Linked DNA regions of Arabidopsis thaliana. The protein of the gene in region 3 interacts with the protein of the main gene of each other region in a biochemical or structural test. Each region holds a gene or a part of one and is shown on either strand. Other genes may lie near its edges. The genes, in order: DCL3, HYL1 and DRB2.

What was found.
Region 1: the proteins of DRB2 (region 3) and DCL3 interact in far-western blotting, tested with the Arabidopsis thaliana proteins (one study listed by BioGRID).
Region 2: the proteins of DRB2 (region 3) and HYL1 interact in far-western blotting, tested with the Arabidopsis thaliana proteins (one study listed by BioGRID).

The regions. Positions count from the first base shown.
Region 1 is NC_003074.8:15,751,477-15,759,577, reverse strand, and holds the start of DCL3 (dicer-like 3), read right to left. Parts: upstream 6,031-8,101; coding exon 5,897-6,030; intron 5,810-5,896; coding exon 5,635-5,809; intron 5,502-5,634; coding exon 5,388-5,501; intron 4,992-5,387; coding exon 4,857-4,991; intron 4,761-4,856; coding exon 4,687-4,760; exon of another isoform or gene 4,576-4,686; coding exon 4,512-4,575; intron 4,437-4,511; coding exon 4,305-4,436; intron 4,209-4,304; coding exon 4,056-4,208; intron 3,926-4,055; coding exon 3,796-3,925; intron 3,711-3,795; coding exon 3,605-3,710; intron 3,526-3,604; coding exon 3,333-3,525; intron 3,245-3,332; coding exon 3,084-3,244; intron 3,002-3,083; coding exon 2,676-3,001; intron 2,477-2,675; coding exon 2,205-2,476; intron 2,120-2,204; coding exon 1,599-2,119; intron 1,519-1,598; coding exon 1,424-1,518; intron 1,317-1,423; coding exon 1,087-1,316; intron 999-1,086; coding exon 789-998; intron 707-788; coding exon 239-706; intron 149-238; coding exon 1-148. Other genes in the region: AT3G43910 (MutS2), read right to left, coding at 6,889-7,041, 7,129-7,248, 7,341-7,387, 7,473-7,578, 8,030-8,101. UniProt on the Arabidopsis thaliana protein: Ribonuclease (RNase) III involved in RNA-mediated post-transcriptional gene silencing (PTGS).
Region 2 is NC_003070.9:3,137,148-3,142,366, reverse strand, and holds HYL1 (dsRNA-binding domain-like superfamily protein), read left to right. Parts: upstream 1-2,013; 5' UTR 2,014-2,248; coding exon 2,249-2,273; intron 2,274-2,769; coding exon 2,770-3,032; intron 3,033-3,435; coding exon 3,436-4,407; 3' UTR 4,408-4,718; downstream 4,719-5,219. Other genes in the region: AT1G09710 (Homeodomain-like superfamily protein), read right to left, coding at 1-337, 536-622, 884-1,073, 1,169-1,248; AT1G09690 (Translation protein SH3-like family protein), read left to right, coding at 4,937-5,173. UniProt on the Arabidopsis thaliana protein: Double-stranded RNA-binding protein involved in RNA-mediated post-transcriptional gene silencing (PTGS).
Region 3 is NC_003071.7:12,133,180-12,137,972, forward strand, and holds DRB2 (dsRNA-binding protein 2), read right to left. Parts: upstream 3,063-4,793; 5' UTR 2,737-3,062; coding exon 2,491-2,736; intron 2,094-2,490; coding exon 1,874-2,093; intron 1,758-1,873; coding exon 919-1,757; 3' UTR 553-918; downstream 1-552. Other genes in the region: AT2G28370 (Uncharacterized protein family (UPF0497)), read left to right, coding at 77-268. UniProt on the Arabidopsis thaliana protein: Binds double-stranded RNA. May be involved in RNA-mediated silencing.

The DNA.
Region 1 (8,101 bases), on a different chromosome or scaffold from region 3:
TTTTCACTGCAACTTGCGCAAAATTTTCATTGTTTACACATGCAGAACGAAGATCGGTCATCTCTCCAGGCCCAGTTTGTTCGTAGGTGTTAAAAAGATGACGGGTTATTAGAAAATCCAGTACAGAATCGCCAAGAAACTCTAATCTCTGTTTGAGGAAAAAAATGATAGCATGAGGTTGGAAACCTGGGAATAAGTCAGCCAAATAATGCAGGGGTTGAAAATGATGAAGTCATACCTCGTATGAATAGGATTCACGAAGAGAGGAGTGTGTGATAGCCTCTTTTAAAAGAAACTTTGCAGAGAATTCATGTTGGATCTTTCTCTCCAACTCTATGAGCTCATCTTCTTTAGGAATGTAACACCGTAGAGAAACTCTATTGATGGCTTCAACGACTAGGTTTGGGTCAAAATCGACGTCAATACCGAGCCATTTCATCATATGGAGAGAAGCAGACAATCCACCGCTTACATAATAGGCACCAATCAGGGCCTCAGCGCAATCTGATACAGATTTTGAAACTACCCATCTATGACCCATGTCGCAAGACTTGCCTATTTTGATAGTCATGTTTTCTGTGAAGAATTTTGGGTCCAATGGTACTTCTCTAGTATCAATCCCACACTTGCAAGGAACAGGAAAAAGAGAAAATTGACCAGGTGCAGTCCAGCGACGCGGTTCAAAAGCGCCATTTCTTATGTATCCCTATCAAACCAATCCCCATGGAAAGATATTTCTTTGGTGTTCTGACTGATGTAAGACATTACTTGCAAATGTTAGAAGATACCTGTAGTTTGCGACTGGTTGTCAAGCGGTGAAGATTTGAGTTAGATATAATCGATTGTCTCTGCCGTGATAGTTGCCCCTCATCTTTGTCAGGATACTTAAGGAATAGATGACAGCTCGCAACATACTTCAAGACTGAATCCCCGAGCAGTTCCAACCGCTCCATTGAAAATGATTCGGGGCATGTAAGTGTTGTAACTGCTTCAAGAATCTGATTTATTGAACCAAGACAAGAGTTTAATGACAATCAAGATATCTAGTTTCATCTCTAAATGACAGATAGTTTTCAAAAACCATACCGATGTACTTGATATACTGAAGTTATCTATGCTACAATCAATCTCTTCCCTAAGCTGGCTGGCCAACATTAGAGACTCTAGGCGGTGCATCACTGAAGGCAGCAAGTAGATTGATTTTAGCACAGCACGCGGTACATCAATTCTAGCCAAAAGCTCTGGAGGCAAATGCGCATGGATATTCGGTTTTCTTTTCCTAACATTGCCAGCTTTTGGTTCTGTCTTCACAACCACTGTCCATTTACATTGGAAACAACATCTTAGAGCTCACACACTACAATATCATGAGAACATACACAATGATTCCATATGTTGGAGAAATTCTCAAGAATCAACTTACTCTCTTCATTGAAGTCGACTAAAAGGTTGTGCGCATGGTGACTCTGCTTCAACTTCATCAACGGCTGGTTCGGGTGCGCTAAAACAATCCCATACCTGATTAAAAGGGAATAACATTAACTAGAGAGTTATGATAAGTAGATTGAAAGAACAGCCAAAGCTAGAATATCACTTACTTTTTGTTAAAATATTCTGCATAAGTAGCATAGCCTGATGAGGCATCCACCTCAAAGGGGCTCATAGCAGAAGAATCGCTTACGGCTTCAACTATAGAGTATATCCGTCCAGTATGAATTGCAATGACCACAAGTTCTTCGAGACTATTTTTATCAGACGAAGCATTGGCAAAATGAATCAGATTCGTTTCTTCCATTTTATCGTCTAGTAAGACTTCCTGACCGGATGAGGTATTGCACTGATTCCCATCACTATCCCGAAGATCAAGAAGAGAATTTTTCTTCAAGAACTCAACTATTGAGGCACAGGAGTTGATAGCTGACCAATCAATTGTCGCACTCGAAGCTAGATCATTTGTTTCAACTGGTAGCAGTAGAAACATAAAGGCAGGGTGCCAAAGAGAACTAGTGTCAGTTTGAAGCAAAAATTCTCTCTTTGTTCCCTGTGACTTAGATCCAACAAACAACTTTCCAAACATGCCATTAAAGAAAAACTGCTGAAAATATTTTGCTTTGACCAGCTGCATCCAAAACACAAAGAAGAAGACATCAAGTTCAAACCATGAAACAAGAAACTGTTTATAACTAGGGATCAGAGTTATGTACCTCCTCTTGACTCAAACGTATCTGGCCACAAGGTGAGACAGAAGCCTTGACAAGCTTCCTGACCAAGTAAAGGTCCATCTCAACTTTACCAACATCCTCGGCGAGAGTTGACTCAAGCAAAAGAGAGAAACTCGAGTATACTTCGCCAGAAATATTACAACAGAAGTCAAACTTATAAGCCTGAAAGGTGGCGCCATCAATATTTTCTCCCCAGGTTCCTGACAATGCGTTTGCACAGGTTGTTCCGTGCAACTCCTTACGTTTTTTTGAACCTGTTCAGCGAAAAGAAAAAGAAATGTATACATAAATAAACAAATTAAGACAAGCTCCATGACCTTAGACATAGACATATGATATGCAACTGCTGATGTGTGCGTGTATGTGTGTGATACAACAGCGGCTGATAGAGGAACTAAAGACTAAAATCAGCGACACCAGCTAATTGACGAATTAATAAATTAGAAAACATACCTGCAGCCGATGAAGATGATTTACTTTTAGAAGAGGCAACCTTCTCTTTGCCGTTGGATTGTAAGAGATTGTTATCCAAGCGTAACTTTTTACACGGTGGTAACTGCTCATTTCTGCTAGGAGGATCACTCATAGTTTGTGTGGAAGCTGCTTCCTCAGATACAGTTATGTTAGAATCTGGGATAACCATGGATCCAATCTCCTTCACACCGTGTCCATTTTTCACTGGAGGTGGACACGATTTCAAGTTTGGAGCTTCTGGATCTTGAATTAGGACTTCTCTTCGCATAAGGTCATGCAGATGGTCTCTTTGCTTCGGGTTCCCTCTACAATAATTAGTATTCAGAAATAAGCTACAAAAACTGGAATTTGGTAAACATTTTGTGTTAAATAAATATTGCTTCCTACCTTTCAAGAAACATGATAGACTTAGAATTACTCTGTTTGGCATGTTTTTGAGACTGCGAGTAACTACACATTGTTTTGGGCAGGTCAAAACAAACCATGCATGAGCAATCTGGAACCTGAAATCCCTCTTCAACCACATCTGTGATGAATAAAAGATTCACCTACATGCATTAAAAAGCTTTCAGAGAAGACAAAATAAAAACATTTCTCAATCTATAAAACATCTGACTGTGATGAAGAACAGGTAACCTTGCCATGTTGAAATAAATCAGGGATTTCAATTTGCATTTTCTGTGCCGATACATTGGTGGAGGGGTTGTTTTCGGTTAAATACAAGACATTAAGGTAAGCCAAAGAGGCTTCTTTCTTAACGAATCTTTCGATCACTTTCGCAGTTATAATTCTCTCAACTAAAATAAGGCACTGCTTTTGCTTGTCACCTCTGCAAGCAAATTGAAATTGTCAGAACAGATGGAGATCTTGGTGCAATTTTGGGAGTTGGATAAACAATTTAAATTTACCTAAAGGAATCCAATAGATGGAAGAGTTCTTTTAGCTTTGGAGATACATGCCCAGAAATTACTGCTGACAGATGGTTTTGCTGCAAATCTACCAGACTCTTATCATCTGTTAAATAACACAAATGATAAACAGTGTAAAAATTAGTGACTAGAAGAGGACTCAATGCAATATAGAGCTTTGAATACATTACCTTGCGGCAAATACACCCCAATGGTGGATAAAATATCCTCAAGAAATTCCTTGCACACCATTGAGCATTCTTTATAAGTTTCACTTTCCTCTTTCGTATCTGAGATTTTCTCCAAGCAGACTTCAGCCGCCTATCGCGAAAGCAAGATGAAAAAAAAAAGAAAAATAATCAGCACAACAGGTATGCTAGCGGGAGAAAAAAGTAACAATGAGTAAGCAAATGAAGAACTGGTAATAAAAACTAAACTGGTAGAAAAATACCAAGTGTGCGCAAATCAGGCCAAGATTATCAAGGCAATGCAAAATCTCTCTGTAGTCGATAGACAATCTCTTTTGATATGTCTCAAACTTATTATCCATATTCAGAAAACTGTCTTTTCCCAACTCTTGAAGCCTTCTAAGAGAAGCATCAAACTGTACGAAAAAAAACAGAATATTTTTCAAGCACTCTGAAACATAATAGGAAAGAGTCATGTTCTGGATCATATTCAGTGAGCATATATTATATACCTTGAGGTGTGAAGTTTCTAACTTTTCTTTCAATTCCAAACTACAGGATGGTGATGGGTTATACAATATTGGACCTTCTTTAACCGTTGTAGCAAACTTTTCCACTCCTTCACGCTCTTCAGGATTAAAAATCTGAATTCAAAGTAAGATTGCATAGCATTAATTTGTAAACTATATCTGTTTCCTTGTTACACAAAAACAAAGTACCTTTGAGTCCATGAGTCTCTCAAGTTCTGATACTTGAGCTGCATAGTTAGAGGGAGAGGAAACACTTGTAGTATGAGTTTATGTTCCTTACATGAAGTTCAAACATTAAAAAGTAGTTACAGGAAGCAGGATCTTTGGTTTGGCATACAGAGGAAATAAGAAACTTTTAAATAGCATGCCTTTTCTAATGACGGCTGACGCAGTCAATCCAAATATCTTCGGTTTGCTAGTGGATTCGTGATAGAATTCCTTCATGAAAACAAGAAAGAATCTAGTTCGTTGACAAGTTATGGAAACTCTATTATGAAAAAACTAATAGAGCTTATCATTACTGAGAAAACACACCTTCATTAACTTCGCATAGGGATGATTGCCAGTGGTATGGTGGCATTCATCTATTATTAGAAGACATACCATCTCTAGTTTCAGGAATGCACTTCTAAGGACATCCAATAATATTTGAGGAGTCATAACTAAAACCTGAACCATACAAAACATAATTTCATTGCAGATAATAGACTCACGTGGATTCGGCAACAAAAGAGAAGTATGTGATTCTGTTAGTGAGATCAATGCAGTCACAAATCTACGTCAAGGGCTCAAGCAAACAAGTTCAAACAAAATAATTAAGAAATAATCAGCATTGGAAGAAGAACCAACCCCAAAAGTAACAAATTGGAATGGGCTTTTAACTAACTCAGAGAACATTCATGACTCAAAATACAACAATGAGCTGGTCAAAGTGGATTACAACATTCTGCCAAAGTTTCACTAACCACACAAAGAAATTTTGATATAAAATCACCAAAACTACAAGCAAGTCACTTTGTTGGCGTATAACTAGCCAAATATACACAAAAAGAAACAGAAACTTACATCGTGCTTGCTAAATTCCTCATCCCAGCGCTGAGATGTCCATTTATCAACTCCTTTAGCTCCAAAGTACTCTTCAACTTTCAAATTCACAAGTGCTCTGATCTCACAGCATTGCTAAAACCACACACACCAATAAAACATTCAAAAATAAGCTCCCAAGGCGACTCATTAGCCAACATCATCAACTCAAAATGATTAAAATCCAAATGAAACAGTTTTTCTTTTTACAATCAAACAAGAGACTTGCCTGTTTAACAAGATTCACAGTTGGGGCCAAGAAAATTATCAATCTTTTGTCTGTATCAGAAGAACCCATAGCTTTGATAAGCCTCTTAGTGATCTCTGACTTATCAATCCCTGTCCCCAAAACAGCAATTATGTTCCTGTTCTTAGCAACCTCGTACACTTTCAATTCATAACTACTGCCAAAAAAAAAGTAAACTTTAGTGAAAAAGACTAAAAACCCATAAGACCCAAAATCAAGTACAAAGAGAGGAAGATGATGATACCCATTAGAGTCAGTCATCATAGGAGAAGAGACAGAATCAAGATTTTGATCTCCATCGATTTCAGAGAATTTTCTCTTAAGCGAATTGCTTCCCCCACCTTCCTCCATTTTCTCCGGCTCCAACGACGAATGCATGACGAACGGATAAAAAGGAACACACTTAACGGGAAGAGTAGAGGAATTTCGAATTTCGACTTTGAGATTAAAACAAAAAGGTGATTCTTTTTCTCTTTTTCTGCACTGACCACTGGGCAAGTGTATAAATGAGGTCAGAACATGAGTTTCGAATGTTGAATTTTTAACTAGAAAAAAAAACTGCAACAAAATTAGTCAAACTATATTAATTTTTGGGTTACCTTTTTTCGATACTTTATTTTTGATTTTACTCTTTCTTCAAATATTTAGGCCTCTAAGGCCCAATGGACCTGACAAGATGCATAGATTCATTGGATATACTGCTGATTGATTACTTTTCTTCAATGTGCAAGCTGTTTCATGTTGTAAGTAACTTCGCTTTTTTTATTTATCCGGGTAATCTGGTAGAAATGTACTAAAATACTTTAGCGTGGACTTCTTCCCAAATAAACACCACAATGTATGTTCCGAGTTTGGAATGATTTTCGACTAAAAGAAAGCTAAAAATGTAGAAGAGGGGCTGACTTATGTTAATATCATCTAATTCTAATGTCTCTTTCAACCCGAGACAATTTACCTTGTTTTGTCAGAGATTATTTATAATTTGTTAGGTCATGAGGATTTCGGTCGGGTTAAATCATAACCAAACTACATTAACAACTCTCACCTTGAAAATTAGATAAATATAGAAATCGAAAAATGACCAAATTTTGAGAGATTTTGAATACGGAAAAAGAATAAACAAAATATTTTTTTCTAATTAGTGAAGAATTTTCTGAAAGCCAAAGGAGCAGAGAAAGAGATGCAATATATAAGTGAAATCACCAAAACATTACTCATTTTTACATGTTAGATATGTCACTTAATTTGAGAAAATGAGTAATATCTTGTATCACTTGTAGCATGACCATATGCAGCAATGAGTAGTGCATTAGCTCGAGCATTGTCGTCAATTTTCGTTGTCAATTTAAGTGATGGAAACATTTCCAGTGCGAGTTTCCTGCCACCATCCTACGAAGAGAAAAGCAAATATTTTTATTGCAATTGATGTGAGGATAGACATGAAATCATAAAAGTTTGAGAGTTAAGATTCATCACCAAACTCCAAATACTAAGATTAAAATGTTTGTCCCATGTAGAAGGAGTAACGTAAATAACAGAAATGCTAGATGTGAGAAGTGTCCATAATCCACATCCAAGTCCATCATTGTAGGCAGTCTAAGATATAAAGACACAATCATGTTTCAGTGTATCGAATCCATATCATAAACGTACTGAAGTAAAAAAAAAAAGAGATGAGTAATTTTTACAATAGCGTTTTCAGGATGAATATATTTCGCTACAAATGCCTTGGTTCCTACAACAGTGAAGAGACCAAATTGATTTTAAACATAACGCAAAGAACACGCCACAACAAAAACACAGTGAAATATCGTTCTTACCGGATGGAACATCTAGACTACGAATCAGTTCTAGCATTGATTTTTCGTTGAAACTACGTGTTCGGATGTTTTGAACTACAACTTCCAACTGAGGAGTATCATATACCTTCACACAGATTTAACACACAAAACTTAATCCATATCAAAATGACTAAAGTGAATTTTCCACTGTATTCACCAAGAGAACAGTTTACAAAGCATGTCTTATTTAACTTAAGGGATAGATAACAAAACTCACTAACTCAATAGTTACAAACAGGTTAATTAGTTGTAAATCTTCTATCATCCAATATTAATTTCATTCATATAATTCCTATAGATAACAATCGAACCTTGTATATATAAATTATGATAAACCAAGTCCATCTGCCTGAGATTACCCAATGAAATATCGAACCTTGTATATATAATTTATGACTAACCAAGTGCATGTCCTGAGATTACCCAATGGAATATCTTAATTTACTTCACAAACCCTAGAATCTTGTAGTTTCACAGTTCTAGGGTTTCAGAAGAAAAACAATATTCTTTTCGAAAATTAATTAGTAGCGATTCACCTGAGCAAAACAAGATCCCTTGTCGTCGAATTTCAGCACAGCCAAAGCTCCGGATAAGTTAGGGTCAATCCC
Region 2 (5,219 bases), on a different chromosome or scaffold from region 3:
TAAAGTCTCCCTTAACAATATGAGCCCAGTTCCCTTCACCACATCGCTTTACAGCGGCGAACAGCTCCTCATCCTCCTCAGCAGACCATCTTTTCCTTTTCCTCCGAAAAGCCATGCTAATACCAGCTGAACCATTTCCATTCATCCCCTCGGTAGATGTAACTTTCTGAAGACAGACCGGAAAGTTGATATTCATCCCTCTTGACGACCAAGGAGACTCTGATGGTTCCTGAGAACCCTCAGGCAAAGCATAAGGTATGTTTATAGTCAAGGGAGCCTCAACTGTTGAATCGTCGAGTATATCAGACTCACTTAGAACATATGAAGCAGCCATCACCTGGGAATACAAGAGAAACGAAAACTTAATGATATTTGGATAAAATGGGAACTCTGGATAAGCACAGATTGATATGCAGAACAAGTAACCAACACACTAATCATTAAGAAAACAGCAAGGTGTTATCCTGAATAGAGCCTAGGGACTTCAGATTCTGAAATTCTGTCAAGGGAATGAAATCTATGATTCCGTTCTTACTTTGACATGTGCAATAGCCTCCACTGATGCTTCATGGCTGACTGCAGGAGAAGCTTCCAATTCGCACTCCATGTCACTATCGTCGTCCTGCACAGGCAACTTTCGTTTAAAAAATCTGTAAACTACACCAGCGAGAGACACTCATCGATCCCTAATGCTACCAAGAAGTTTTAGTATCCACTGCCACATAGAACATAAACTAGTATTTCATCACACTCACTTCTAGATGATACTGATAACACAAAGTAGTAGTGAGTTTTTATTGAAGAAAACTAACTAACTCTACAACATAAACTTGAGTCTTTTACAATTCATCAAAAGTGGAAAGAGGAGAGACAGAATAAGTACCAGAGGTAGAGCATCATCTTCCACAGGGAGGAGAGGATGCCGATAAGAAAGATGACGCCATAGCAACTGGTACTCTCTAGCATTAGTAATTCCGGTAGTGGTCTTCTTCACCAACGCATTCCAGTCCATCTTGGTTTCGGAACAATAAGATATCTCCTGTAGCATTCTCAGTATCGTCTCCATATCATATCTGCGTCAATAAATCAAAAACCCCGGCCACACTGACTAAACCCAAATCCACTAACGTTTTCGGAAAGAGAAAACAAAAAAAGGAGATATTTTTACCTCAGCAAAAGAGTGGCGATGTCGCCTTCAGTAATGATTCTCTTCCTGCGATTGCTACTAGTATTATTATTAGCAACCATCTTCGTCGTATTTATTGCAACAATTCTGCAGAGAACAGGACAAAGGAATCAAATTTCACCAAAACCCGAGGGAGTTATAGACGAAACGAAACGACAGAGACTTACGCACGAGGGAATGCCCAAGAAAACCGGTGAAGACGATCGGAGAAGAAGATGGTCACGACTGTCGAAGAGCGTGGAGAGTACTCGCGTGGCAGAGGTGTTTCGGAAGAGAGAAGAAAAAAAAGGAACGAAAAGGAAGGTGGTAAATTCGACTATTATTATTCTACGCTTATCAGAAGCGAAAAGTATGGGCTCAAATATTTTTCTTTTCTGGTAAAGGGATATAGGATCAAGTGGGCTCAAATATGGGCTCAAATATTTTTCTTTTCTGTTAAGGGACATAGGCTCAAGTGGGCTCAAATATGGGCTCAAATTGTTTTTATTTTTTATTAAACGGTTATTATCATTATTGATGTTTACTTGGAGAACAAATTAATTATTTGTGAATACAAAAACTGTGTGAATATAACAAAGGGATTACTAGTGAATAAAGTTAGCCATAAAAAGGTTAATCAATTGTGGATATATACATTAGTTAACTACATATGAAATACGAAATTAGGCTATATGTAATTAGTTTTTTAATTAAATTAAATATTTCAAAGATAAAAACATTTTGCTTTCATATAATATTCACAAGTAAATTATATTTATGGAAAATTTGACCAAAAAGGTAAATTTATGGAATATAATATAATTTATAAAGGTTTGAAATTAAATTCAATATTAACATTTGTAACATAACAATTAAGAACCACCTTCTTTCGTTTGCCCTTGTGAAAAAAAAACAAAAATAAAAATCAGTAAAGAGGAGGAAGTCGAGGGGAGAGGGTTTTTGGTGAAGAAGAATCATCTCTCTCTCTCTGCTTCTTCGCAGCAGCAGCACGTTTCTTTCTTGCTCTTCGCCGTGCCCTACTAACCTATTATTCGTCTCTTCAGCTACATTCTGCTCGTGAAAATGACCTCCACTGATGTTTCCTCTGGTGAATTACTTCTTCTTCTTCTTCTTCTTCTTCACCATCATGTCTGCATTATCTCTAATTCAACATTCATGGGTTGTTTTTTCCGGGTTTTAATTTTGAAACCAGATCATGCTTTTTCCCCTTTCTTCTGTTCTTTACTCACTTCTTTCTTCTTGGAAATTGGATTGCAGTGTTTTGATTAGTTAGAATTTACAAGTGTATCTGTCCCTTGTGGGTTTAAGCGTAGATCTCTCTGGCAATTGGCAAGTTTACTCTTTTGAGATGATGATTTATTGACTCAATTTGTTAGGGAACATAGAAGCTTGGTTTAAAACTGTCTCTCCCCTTTTGGATAAGTATAGTTTCTTTGTGAAAGTCGTCAGCTTTATTCAGAACTCGTTCACTGCTGTTCCCTGTTGTCGTTTTGAGTTTATTTGCAATTTATGCTGTAGTGGATAGCATCATCACTGTTTCTGTTTTATCTTTTGCCTCATTTTGAAGTTTTTTTCCTGCTCAGGTGTTTCCAATTGCTATGTTTTCAAAAGTCGGTTGCAGGAGTATGCTCAGAAGTACAAGCTCCCAACGCCTGTTTATGAGATCGTTAAAGAAGGCCCTTCACACAAATCTTTATTTCAATCGACTGTGATACTGGATGGTGTCAGATATAATTCTTTGCCTGGATTCTTCAATCGTAAGGCTGCAGAGCAATCAGCTGCCGAGGTTGCTCTCCGGGAATTAGCAAAATCCAGTGAGCTAAGCCAATGTGTTTCACAACCTGTTGTAAGCACCTCATCTTTCTTATTTCGCTCGTGATTATTGTTAAGTTCACTGCAAAACTATTGAACCTAGCCTAGGGGTTTAGCAGCGAATTGTAGCTTTGCCATCTCAGCAGTAGTCCTTATGCTTAGTTTGAGCGTTGAAGGTTTAAAGGGAAGCTCATGGTTAGTTTCAGAGTTGAAGGTTTAAAGGGGAGCTGTGAGAATACGTTAGGGGGCATTCTGTATTTGTCTAGGCTCTTGGTTGGACAATGATCGAGATTCAAGAGTTTAAAGAATCCACTCATTAATAAAGTGTCTTCTGTCTTATCGGATTTATGTGTATTGCCAACTTCTAGAGGGAAGATTCTTAGGCTGTTTCTGTAAGTTATTGCTCTTGTCTAACTTTGAATGGCTTATTAATGCAGCACGAAACGGGATTATGCAAGAACCTACTTCAAGAATACGCTCAAAAGATGAATTACGCGATTCCATTGTATCAGTGCCAGAAGGTCGAAACTCTTGGGAGAGTTACACAATTCACATGTACTGTAGAGATTGGAGGCATAAAGTACACAGGAGCTGCAACAAGAACTAAAAAAGATGCTGAGATTAGCGCTGGGAGAACTGCTCTTTTAGCGATCCAGTCAGACACTAAAAACAACCTTGCCAACTACAACACTCAGCTTACTGTACTTCCTTGTGAGAAGAAGACAATACAGGCAGCTATCCCGCTTAAAGAAACCGTCAAGACTCTTAAAGCCAGGAAGGCTCAGTTCAAGAAGAAAGCTCAGAAAGGAAAACGCACAGTAGCTAAAAATCCTGAAGATATTATCATCCCTCCTCAACCTACTGATCATTGTCAAAACGATCAGTCAGAGAAAATTGAGACAACGCCAAATCTGGAACCTTCTTCATGCATGAACGGGTTAAAGGAGGCAGCATTTGGGAGTGTGGAGACAGAGAAAATTGAGACAACGCCAAATCTGGAACCTCCTTCATGCATGAACGGGTTAAAGGAGGCAGCATTTGGGAGTGTGGAGACAGAGAAAATTGAGACAACGCCAAATCTGGAACCTCCTTCATGCATGAACGGGTTAAAGGAGGCAGCATTTGGGAGTGTGGAGACAGAGAAAATTGAGACAACGCCAAATCTGGAACCTTCTTCATGCATGAACGGGTTAAAGGAGGCAGCATTTGGGAGTGTGGAGACAGAGAAAATTGAGACAACGCCAAATCTGGAACCTCCTTCATGCATGAACGGGTTAAAGGAGGCAGCATTTGGGAGTGTGGAGACAGAGAAAATTGAGACAACGCCAAATCTGGAATCTTCTTCATGCATGAGCGGGTTAAAGGAGGCAGCATTTGGGAGTGTGGAGACAGAAGCAAGCCACGCATAACAGTGTCAAGATGGAGTCTTGTGAGTTTGTCATAGTTACTATATGGTTACGTAGCCATTTTGTGATTCCTATCTAGTCTAGTAGTAATTCACAGATTGAAGAGAAGTAATATTTGAGCGGAAAATCAAAACTAATATGATTGGTACAATTTGGTGGTCGATTGAGTCATTCGAATAAAGTAATGTGGGGTTGCAAAACAGAAGCTTCATATCTACATATAAATGAAAATTACTCTCAAACTTCATTATTTGTGGGCCGGTTATAAAAACACAAACCCAACAGAAGGTCCATTACCCTCACTCTTCATTATTTGTGGGCTGGTTCTAAAAAACAAAAGTCCAATAGAAGGTTCATTACCCTCACTCTTGATTATTTGTGGGCTGGTTCTAAAAAACAGAAGCCCAACTTGCTGACCCAACAGGTCCGTTTACGAAACCCTAATCTCAAAACAGAGATATAAATACACTCTGCCTTCCTCATTTCATTTCTTCGGCGATCTAGGGTTTTAGTTGTCGCACGAGGAGGAAAAATGCCAGCGGGTCATGGAGTTCGGGCGAGAACGAGGGATCTGTTCGCGAGGCCATTCAGGAAGAAGGGTTACATTCCACTCTCGACTTACCTGAGAACCTTCAAGGTCGGCGATTACGTCGATGTGAAGGTGAATGGTGCGATCCACAAGGGTATGCCTCACAAGTTCTACCACGGTCGTACTGGTCGTATCTGGAACGTCACTAAACGCGCCGTCGGTGTTGAAGTCAACAAACAGGTCTGATGAACTCTCCTATCTCTTCAGCTTTTGTGTCATTGAATTA
Region 3 (4,793 bases):
ATTTAGCCTCTCAATTTAATAAAATCGTATGAGAAAAGAGATGTGTACAAATAAGCATTTTTCAACATTATTTCAGGTGACATCGACGCTGACTTTTGCAGCAGCTTGTGCATCGGCAGGCATAACGGTTCTAATAGACAACGATCTGAATAGCTGCGCACAAAACCACTGTGTTCAGTTTGAAACATCAACGGCATTAGCTTTCATAAGCTGGTTCGCTGCTTTGCCTTCGTTTCTCTTCAATTTCTGGTCTCTTGCATCCCGTTGACACGATACTGCTCAGCAAGATGTGTTTTCATGGTGTGTTTTTCGGTGTATAGTGACTGATTTTTCTTCTTCTTTCTTGTTTTGGGTTTGGAACCAACTTTCTTCAAACCCAATACTTGGAAACTGGGAATTGTTTTGTAGACGACGACCTTATTCATTTTGTTGTACAATGAAACTATCTGGTCGGCTTTGTTGTATGATTGAAGAAATTTCAGATGTTGAATGCATTATTATGATATGTTGACTGAATTGCAAAAACTATATTGTATAAAACATATGGCTCGTGTGCTGAAATATTTTGACTGAATTTGTTAGCTAAAGGAGAAATTCGAAGTTCCAAAGACTCATTGAGATATGTGTCATAGCTGTCGTGTAAGACAAAGAGCTTGATTCTGCTGGAACAACGATAGGTAACAGATTTATAAAAGATGAGAAAAAGGACACAAACAAACTGAATAGGAAGCGAAACTGATACAATTCTACAATCCAGAGATGGCCAGGTTCTTCCCAAAACTCCCCAATATAATACAAATCTTTCGGATTATCAAACTACTCGATCCACCGAGTATAATAACGAACGAGATTACTAATGTAACAATTTTCAGAAACCAACCTCAAAAAAAACTAAACCCAGAGACAGTCTTCAAGGCATCAGATCTTTAGGTTCTCCAGTCGCTCTCTTGCTGTCTCCGGTTCTCCTTTCGATGAATCCTTAAACTCTGCTCTCTCGGTTTCCTTTGACGCTGTTTTCTCACAATCTGTAATTGTTATAGTACTTCCTTCTACTCCAATTTCAAGACTATCAGGCAAGACTGGTATACTCTCCTTTTCTTGGACTGATGATATGCGGGTTTCTCCTGCCTCAACTGTGGGCTTCACAGCGGTTCTAATTCTAACCGGTGGCGCAGAAGCAAATACGGGCACCGCGGTTCTGATTGTGACAGGCGGCGCGATCCTCACAGGTGGTGCAGTTCGCATCAGCGATGGGACATACACAGAAGAAGGTAGCTGAGTGTTGTTTGTACATGGTGGAGGAGGCATTGGAGGTGCAGAGAAGACCGGTACAGCGGTTCTGATTGTGACAGGTGGAGCCATCCCATGGCATTGCGATCTAAATTGCCTCATAGGAACATAAGGCGGATTTGCAAATCTCTGCTGAGGCCGCTGGTAGCTGCGGCTTTCCAAGGCTGCTGCCATAATTCTGTCAATACCGGAAGTTGCTGCTAAGGATGATCTGCTGCTTCTGGAAGGTTGTTTTGGGCAAATAAAGGGTAAGATTCTCGATGTGGTTGCAGGAGAAGGCTGTGGACTTGTTGGTCTAAGGTTCTGCATAAAGAACTTCTTTGCAAATGGAACTGGGGCACTCGAGGAGCTTCCTGTGCCAATGTTTTCCTTGATACGATAGTTTATCAAAGCTCTTGCTATAATCACCTGTTCTAGTTCGTCAATGTTCTCAGGCTCAGGCATTGAACTTGATGTTTCTTTTGCCACTGTTACCAAGAAGAACATAAAAAACATCAAACCATGTAAGCAGAGTTACATTTGATCAACGCCTGCGTTAAACTAAAACCATATCAAAACTGACAAAATCAGAATTAGGACTCACATTGTTTTAGGGAAGACCAAGCAGCCATTGCAGCATTCTTCTCTGCTTGCTTCTTGTTCTTAGCTGGATCTCCAGTGAACGTAATTCCAGCCAATTCTACAGTACCAGTAAACACAGGTTGGTGACCAAGACCTGACCTGAAAGTAGTATATCGCGGTAAAGGAGCTCCCACTCTTTGAGCTATCTCTTGCAAAAGATTCTTATACACACCCGTCTCATCCTACACAAACCATAATCCAAAAGAACAGAGCCAAGAAAAGTATCATCAGTCATGCAACAAGCAAAACATCAGAAGTAAACATGCATCCAAAATCACAAAAGTTATTTGTTCTACTCATTTAAGTCCCAAACCAATCAATGGGTAAGAACAAGATTCAAACTTTGGATCCATAGATCAGTGAATGTGAAGATCACTCTCTCTAATCAGACAACCCAGAAACCCAAATCCCTAAAAAGCAAGTCAGAGATCTCAGCACCGACCCTAATAAGTAAAAACCTAACCACAAACTAAACCCATCAGTGACCTAAAGCACCTAAAACAACATGCAAATTCAGCATTCAAAGCTCACAATTTTCCAAGTAAAATGCCAAAGAGAGTAAGAGGAAGCGAAACAAACCAAGATCCTGGCGGCAAGAGAGTGAGAAGGACCACGATTAGAGAGAGCATTGAGAGCAACTTCAGCAGCAGAGTGTTCAGCTTGACGAAGAGTAGAACAATACTGAGGACTCTCAAAGATCTCGCCGTTAAAGTTAACAGTAGCCTTGAATCGCGGCGCGTGGTCAGGACCTTCCCTAATACAAGTATACGAAGGAAGATTAAAGCAGCTCCTCTGAGCCAACTCTTGTAGCTGGTTCTTATACATTTCGAAAACCAAATTTACCAAACAAAGAAAGAAACTCCGATTTCGGAGAGATCAAAGCTTTGGTTTTTAGGGCTTTTTCTTCATCGCTAAGGCTCTGTATCTTCGAATCATGGAAAATCGTTGGAGGGTTTAGCTTGGGGAGTGATTAAGAGGCTAAGTTGGGGTGTGAAGGAGATTGAAGATGGTGAAATCGGAGGAAATTTAGGGTTTTTGCAGAGAGAGATAGAGAGAGGAAGAGAGGGAGGAGCAAGAGAGAGAGAGAGTGTGGGGTTTTTGCTTTAATGGAAAAAATAAAATAAAATTAAATGTGAGAATTAATTATCTGCTTTTATCGCTGCTAGTCAACTGAACGTTAGCCTGCATGGATGTGATATTTTTATATTTCCTTTTTATACTATACTAATTTTGTATGTATCTTAATTTATGGATTTAAAAAACAAAAAAAAACATTTAACTATAATCCACCACTATTGTAAGCTTTATAATTTGAATTTTCATAAAACATAAGATTAAATATATATTGAACAATTTGTATAATTGTAAGGTATGAAAAAAATAAGTCTATTTGAATAAACAGGTTAATTCTAGTTTATTAAGTTTTGTTAACGTTTGTAATAACAGAGAAGAAGTTAAAAGAGAATTATGGAAAGAACGAAACGGCAGAATCTATAACAACACTCATCGAAACGGTCGAAGTTATAACAACACTCGTCAAAACGGTTTAACTTTCTTGTTTTTGGCGAAAAAAACAATATGTTTAGTATTTTTAACTTGTTCTAATCATGTGTAGCTAGTTAAACAATGTGTAATCCATGCGACTTCTCAGTTTAACGTTAACTCGTAATTTGAAATCTCGGTCAAAAGAAACAAAAAATTGAAAAATCCGCACAAGTTCCATCATCAACTATGTATAATAGATACATTTTGAATTTGTGAAAAAAAATCATAAACTTTTTTTGGAGAAAACGAAACCGTAAAGTCTATAATAACACTTAGGAAACGGCTGAATACATAAAACACCAAAAAAAAAGACAATTTTGGTTGTCAAATCTTTTTTGGTCATCACATGATTCACATCTACTCCGATCAATTTTTATATTTTTAATACTTACCAAATCTTCTCTATTTTTTTTTTAGCATTCAACTATCTATGAATTGTGAAATAACTGCTTTTACCATTTGAAACAAAAGTTTCTAATTTTGATCTATCCAACCCACATACGTTTTTGATAGGCTACAACCTTGGTTCCATGAAACTTCAATCTCATGGCTGTTCCTCCTTTTTTCACTATAAAGTTGGGTTTAACTTGTTTCTATGTTGAATCTTTTGTTTATTTGTGCGGTCTCCAATTTTGATCTACCACATTGATTCATTTTAGTTTTATAAAAAATAATTGGTTAAAGAAAATAATAGTAAGTTTCTCTAAAAAAAATTAACAAAATTTCATAGATGTGTTTCTAGTATAATTTTTCTTATATATCAATAGTGTGATCTATATGCTTTTCTTCAATAGTAGAAGTTAAATAAAATATTTCATCAAAACAAATAAAAATATGTTCGACTGATGTATAATTTTAACTTAATCATAGAATTAGTGGGAAGTCTGAAGTCGTATTCTAATAAAAAGGAATATGAAAATGGAAAGAAAAGAAAAAACAAAATACTAGAAAACAGCTTGAAACCTAAGAAGTTAGTGCGTACTTTATTTTCATATATTAAAACTTAATGTTCACACATCTCTAAAGAATAATTTAGCTTTTGATGAATTTTGAAACCATGTCCACACAAGTCAATGGGTAGAGAGAGAGAGGAGGAACAAATGTGAAATCATGAAATTACCAAAATGCTTATTACGTTTAGAGAGAGATAAGGGGCATTATCGTAATAAACGCTGTGAGTGATTTGCAGTAGTAAAAGGTGGAATTCATAATCATAGTTAAGCTTAGTGGCCAACATTTACTTTTATATTTGTTTTCGTTTTTCTATTTCAATCTCCCGAAGTTGATGAAGTTTGACTGATCCATCACATAACCACATAAATTTGTACTAACTAGTT